2 linked regions of the Yarrowia lipolytica genome follow. The protein of the gene in region 1 purifies or fractionates together with the protein of each later gene. This does not show direct contact. Links are inferred from orthologs where the notes say so. Each region holds a gene or a part of one and is shown in the gene's direction. Other genes may lie near its edges. The genes, in order: YALI1_F04259g and YALI1_B27254g.

Evidence for each region.
Region 2: the proteins of YALI1_F04259g (region 1) and YALI1_B27254g purify together in Saccharomyces cerevisiae (affinity purification with western blotting, with the first as the bait; 4 studies listed by BioGRID). This does not show direct contact. The link is inferred for Yarrowia lipolytica from reciprocal best matches to the Saccharomyces cerevisiae genes PAM16 and TIM50.

What each region holds. Positions count from the first base shown.
Region 1 is NC_090775.1:425,007-427,947, reverse strand, and holds YALI1_F04259g (uncharacterized protein), read left to right. Parts: upstream 1-1,988; coding exon 1,989-2,432; downstream 2,433-2,941. Other genes in the region: YALI1_F04264g (uncharacterized protein), read right to left, coding at 1-1,525. UniProt on the Saccharomyces cerevisiae protein: Essential component of the PAM complex, a complex required for the translocation of transit peptide-containing proteins from the inner membrane into the mitochondrial matrix in an ATP-dependent manner.
Region 2 is NC_090771.1:2,723,389-2,727,346, forward strand, and holds YALI1_B27254g (uncharacterized protein), read left to right. Parts: upstream 1-2,056; coding exon 2,057-3,457; downstream 3,458-3,958.

The sequences.
Region 1 (2,941 bases):
TCTCTTTAGAGATCTGATCATCTCGCTCAGGAGCTTCTTTTCGTTTCAGTGATGGCGAAAGGAACGGTGACTTGGGAGTTCTGGGCACAGACACCGGCTCCTGTACTCTTTCGTAGTAAGGCGGGTCCACGTATGCAAACGCCTCAATGTAATCCAGAGCAATGGTGCGATGCTCGTCGTCCAACTTATCGAGATAGTCCATGCAAGTGGGAGGCACAGGAGACGGGAACTGAATGCCTCCGTAACCTCCATAACCTTTGTACGACGAGCCAATTCCAAAACCCACACTGAGCTCCTGAGAGCCAGGAAGGAGCTCCGGGTTGGGTGATGCTGATGACGACTTGCCCGAATCTTCGTACGAAGAGCCTCCCTCGCCATTCGTCTCTTTAAGAAGGTTAAGAGCTCTTGTTTTCGAGCCTCGCACAGATCGGGGGTTTGCAGACACGCATTTCTTCATTTTCTGCAAAATGCACTGAGAATTTGTGGGGTCGGAGCACTCTGTTCGTTGCAGAATTGTCTCTACCATGTTGCCCAGGCACAGTTTCTCTTGGGGGGTGAGCTGGTCGATTTCAGTGCCATGAAGCATCTTTTGCACGGGGTGATGAGTGTCCCATTCCCATGCGAGTGTCAACTCCGTACCTGGCTTGATTGGTTCAGTTGCAAACACGACAAAAATGATATCGGTGTTGTTAACCACGACAGTCGCCACTCTGCAGTTTGGATTGCACGAACGGCGCATGAACCGCGCATCATTGCCTACAAGACGACCATCTATCACTAGAGGAAGCGTTGGATGGAACAAGACTGACGATTTGGGCACTGGATGGATGCGATACTGGTTGATTGGGTCTGCCTTGTACTGGTCCTTATGTGAAACATGACCCACGTACTCGATGATGAAGCGGTCTTTCTGAATAGGCTGATTGGCCACAAGTCCATGCTTAGAAAAGCCACAGAACTTGGACTTTGGATTGTCTTGGAACAGCTTTAAGGTCATCTTAGGCTTGACAATCTTTGAATACTCCGATAGAGACATGTAACTGATGTCCTTGTCAATAATTTCCTCATTGGCCAACTTGGCAAGATAATCCTTGACTTCCGGGTCCACGGTATTTCTGGGGATCACAGTGTAATCGAAATGGTAGTCGTTTTCCTCATTGTTGGGCTGTTCCGTTGATTCTCTAGAGGGGGCCACTGGAGGAGTCTGCGTGGCCTGGGTAGTTGCAGACGCGTCACCATTTGACTGGCCCTCCTTCTCTTCCGATTCTTTCCTTCGTTTCTTTTCCTGCATCTGTTTGATAGTCTCCAGGCGAGTCTTTTGTTTCTCATGGGCAGCTTTGACATCCAGTTCTCGAGGTCCACACTGGTCACAGAGATACACGTCTGGAACCTCCGCCTCGGAGCCGATTCCCACACACACGGCGTGTTGCCACACGTTACAGGATTCGCACTGGATGGTGAAACCGTCGTCCTCGTCAAACCCGCATATGCATTTGATGATACCCGCGTCCACAGCGTATTTCATAGTGGAGGGGAGTGATTAGTCAGCGACAAACGGATGGGTATTGTTGTAGATTCGAACTGTGTCGTTTAATATCGTATATGTGTTGTACTGTTTGCGGGATGCTCGTTGTTTGTTCACCTTGGATGAGTGTGTGTCTGGTGGTGATGAAGTTTGGAGGTTTAGGCTGAGTGCATGTGCAGCAGAGTGTATGACAAGCTAAGACAAGGGGTAGGATTAAAAGACCGATTGGGGTGGTAAAGTAAAGTCGTAAAGTGGAAAAAATAAGAGTGTAAAGAGTTGATTAACGCGAAAAATCCCATCACATTTTCATACCGAAACTCCTTCATCTAGTCCATCCGCACGACTACAAGTCTTGCGACTTACTTTTAGAGTTCCCAACCTCGAACCTCCCAAAACAATAAACTCTGGCAAAAACCTGAAATCTTTTCTCCACACCGCTAAGAACCACCACACACATTTCACCATGGCCCACAGACTCATCTATCAAGTTGTCGTGACCGGCACCCAGGTTTTCGCCAAGGCTTTCACCCAGGCCTACAAGCAGGCTGCTACCGCCCAGGCCGCCTCCAAGACCTCCAAGTCGGCAGCATCCAAGTTTGGAGGACTCCAGCTGGACGAGGCCTGTAAGATTCTCGACGTGGACGAGACCGCCCTCGACAAGGTGGTTGCCGAGCTCAACAAGAAACACAAGCTGGAGGACATTGCAGAGTCCGAGTCAGTGCTGGCTCAAATCGACAAGAAGTTCACTCATCTGTACACTGTCAACTCGGAGCACAAGTCGGGCTCCTTCTACCTGCAATCCAAGGTGTACCGAGCCATGGAGCGAATCCGGGGCGAGCTGGAGCTGGACCCGCTGCCCAAGCCCGAGATCGAGGAACCCAAGAAGAAGGAAGAGGAGAAAAAATAATGAGAGAGATAGGGACAGATCGGCACAAACTCGGTGTGAGTAAAAGTGTTTTGTAAATAGCATAACGAGATGATGATACGGAACCGTAACCGGATAGAATGAAAGTAAATCAGGAGCGGACTCTTTGGTGAACTACGCAGTGGTGACATAGGAAGAAACCGAGCAGTAATGGGGAACCAAGCAGTCTATGCAGTTCAGCACATACCATAGCTATACATTTGAAAGGGCCGATCGAAGGAGAGTACAAAAACAAGTAGACTATACTCGTATATAGGCCCCTGGTGTGCTCATTATTCTGTGGCACGTTGCTGCTTATTTTCTCTCGATAGTTCTGTCCTATCAGGTGCTACATACTGTACTGTAAGGAAGCTACTGTACGCCAGAAGAGACGAAACAGTACGATACTTGCAGCAGGTTAAGATACGGATGATCCCGTCCTTTCAATTTCAACACTTTATGGAGGCTGCTTCTACTTAGAAACAGATACTACTGTGTGCTTTCCTTGTTAG
Region 2 (3,958 bases), on another chromosome or scaffold:
CGGAGAGTTGAGGAGGAGGGGAACGGCGGTGGCAGTCGATTTCTTATCGCATCGGTACATTTATCGACTATTTTCTCTCTATAAGAGTACGCCCACTTTTTTTCCACCATCCTGAGCACTCCACTTTTCCAACTATATTTAGAACACTTGTTTTCCAGCAAGTTCTGGCCATGGCAGAAAAACGCATGGCATTCATAAACACACTGAAGAGAGACGTGTTCGAGTGTGACCCTTTTTTTCTTGCGGCAATGCAATGCACTGGGCTGATCGAAAGGTCGAAATATACAGGTGCTCACGTTATCCAAGCCCCAGTTTTAAACGGCTTTTCACTAGTCCACATATGACGGATTGTGCAATTCTCGTACTTGTACTGTAGATTCAAAAGAGCACTTCCTTTAAACACCACTCTACCAGCCTCATTTCCCCACCTCTAACACCACTGTCGTTATAACACAACACGTACTGTACTGTAAGAAACCTACGGCTGTGAGACAAGTGCACATCTGGGAGCGCTCAGCCCCACAAAATGCCCTAACCTTCAGTGACCTCATACGGCTGATAAGCTGCGGTCTTCCGGGTAACAGACACACGGTCTGTATTACGCACAGTCTATACTGACCGCCTTGTCTTGGAGTGGAGGCACGTGGAACAGACCTCTTTTCATGCACCCAGTCCAAACTTTGTCTTGGAACGAAATTGCAGATGATAGGACGAGAGTGTATGGTGGGGCTGTGGTTGTATCACTACTGTCTTGCGGCATATACAGCCTCCGTTGCTGCCAGTTCTGATATTATTCTTCTTAGCAGCTCTCAACTTCTCCCGTTTACGGTTAACCTCAATTCTCTCAGCATGCAGTGTCATTTATTGGGTTTGGAGGTTTTGAGATACCATTATCGCAGTTGTGGATTGGGCATAAGTATATTAAAAAGCTGTACGTACATATATAAGTATTGCTGCTGATGTTGTTTGGTGACAATGTACGCGCGAGTACCGGTAGCAACCAGACAATAGTTGCGTCTGGTGGTATTGTTTTGTCTTGTGTTTCAGAGGTATACAACGCTTCTTCATATCACTCAGCAACCAGCTCCATATAAATGCCGCCCAGTCCCCATGGAACCCACATAAAACCCGCCGATCACTTTTTAGACTAATTACCTAGCTACACTACTCTGAGCCTGTCTATGTTGTATTTGGACCGAATACTTCCCAACTGGTAGCCTCGTTTGCGATGCGAGCCCTTTATGGCTCTCCCTGGCTCGGGTTCCTTGTACTCGTACCTGTGGCTCGTAACATCTCTCGATCATTGTCCTAACCCTGTGTCCCAACCTGGCAACCTACAAATAGCTGTATGGGAGCCATACAAACACTCACGGCTTTTTCTGTGTGCACTGTAAGCTCGCTGTAAGCTCGAAGCTGGACTTGCTATGCAAGGGGCAGTGTTCGATCGAATCAGTGAAGAAAGATAAGGGATTCCTGTAAGTAATAGGTTAAGTACCAATGGCTCAAATAGTTGGAAATTAGTTGGGGTTCTGATAAAGACAACATCTCGAAAAGTATACCAATCTGTAAAGATAGTGACAGACAGTACACTTAGACGAATCACCTCTCGTTATTGTCTTATTTTAGCCCTCAAAATCGACCCTACCTCCCTCCCCAGCATCACCGACATCAAGCCGGTGTCTGACTAAGACAATTACACTTTTGGTGGGAGACGCACTCGATTTCTCAGAACGCATCACTTGACATCACTTTTAGAACCCAAAGGAAAACATGAACCGTCATTTTCACCGTTGAAATTTCGGGGTTAAAGAAGTGTACAGAAAATCCATACGGAGGGCTAAACGACCAACGTAAAGATGAATAGAATGGCGGAAATGGAAATCCTCAAAATAAAAATGTGGGAATACTCGCCACCCAAGCTGCCTTATAACACCCAAGTCCACTGGCTCTCGTCAGTGGCAAATGTCACTCCACATTACCGCCTTGTAGAAGTCTGTAGGCCCCGAAACAAAGTATATTAGATTTTCCACTGCACATTGACTCTTCATCATCCACAATGCACAGTCTACTGCGAGCAGCCCAGATTGCACGGGTGGCACGTCCCGGTGTCAAGCGGGCCATGACCCCCGCCGTGCGATTCTACTCGGACAAAAAAACCGAGAAATCCGACCAACCGTTCCAGAGCTCTTTGCTGAACGACGATTTGCTGGCCCAGGCCGGTATGGACGTTGATGAGTCCAAGGGCAAGAGCAAGCCTGCTGCTGAGGGCAAGTCCGAGGGTGCTGCCGAGGGAGCTACTGAGGACGATGTCACAGACGAGCAGCGAGCCCGATGGGCCGGAACTGCCAAGAAGTCCACCGACCAGACCTCCAAGCAGGAGTCTCGAGAGCGAATTGCCGGCTACGGATACTACGCCTTCTTTGCTGGATCAGCAGCTTTCGCCGCCTACCTGGCCCGAGACTGGGACAATGAGGAGGACAAGAAGAAGCATGATACCATTGGCCAGGGATACACCCCCATGCTCATGTGGGCCCGTCTCAAGGCTCGAATCGGAGACACCTTTTCCTTCTACCGAGACCCCGTGGCTCCCGTTCTTCTCCCCGATCCCCCTGCTCCCCCGTACCAGCGACCTTTGACGCTTGTTATTGCCCTCGACGATCTGCTTGTCCACCAGGAGTGGAGCAGAGAGCATGGCTGGCGAGTGGCAAAGCGACCTGGCGTTGACTACTTCCTGGGCTACCTCGGCCAGTACTATGAGATTGTTCTTTTCTCTTCTCAGTACATGGCCAACTGCGAGAAGCTCATCATGAAGCTTGATCCCTACCACGCCTGGTTCTCCCACGTTCTGACCCGAGAGCACACCACTTACGAGGACGGTAAGCTGGTCAAGGACCTGTCTCTGATGAACCGAGATATGGGCAAGATCATCATCATCGACCCCGATACCGGATGCACCATGAAGCAGCCCGAGAACTCCATCCCCATCGAGCCCTGGAAGGGAACTCCCGGCGACAAGGAGCTGGTCAAGTTGATCCCCTTCCTGGAATGGCTGGTGTCTCAGAACGTGAACGACGTTCGACCCATTCTTAAGGCCTTTGATGGCACCTATCTGCCTGACGAGTTCACCCGACGAGAGGCCATTGCCCGAGAAAAGTTCGAAAAGGACTGGTACGCCAAGCACGGAAAGGACGGCCAGTGGGCCTCCAAGTTCCTGGGTGTCTCCGAGCCCAAGCAGCAGAAGCCTCTGATGCCCCACGACGTGATGCGACGAGAGGGCCAGAAGCAGTACCAGAAGTTCCTGGAGTACCTGGCCGTTGAGGGCCCCAAGCTCAAGGCCGAGGAGGAGCGAATGATTGCTGAGCAGAAGGCTATGGGACCTAAGAACCTGTCGGAGGCTGTCTCCAGCATTGGTTCTCTACCTCCTGTGCCCCAGCAGCCCACTGAGCCCAAAGCTTAGATGTATATAGTATGAGTTAACGTGGCACGATGAGTGATAGAGCCATGAGCGAGCCATGTGTGAGCCATGTGTGAAGCGAATGGTGAAGCGAATGACAACGCGATTGGATAAATGTAGCTGCTGTAGCCGTAGTCCGGGCCTATTCAATCGCTGGCTGAGAACTGTTAGTCACTGCCCCTTCTTCGCTACAAACTGTCTGATGTATGTCTGTTGCACAAGCGCATATATATATCCCGTGTCTGGTGAAGGGAAAGGACGACGGCTGGGGGAAACACAAATATATATCAAACGCGATGTGCACTTTTCATATCAACGACTTGCTGTTATCTTGAGATGAGCCAGATTGACTCTGATCTGTTACCCTGATAACGACGCACCCAGTTTATTTATATCTTCAGTATGCATTGATACGAGCTGCCTCGGTATGAGCCCTGGTATCTCTTTCATCAGACTATAAGTACACACCAAGTTTTTTCCGAAGTTGATGAACATACAAGTATT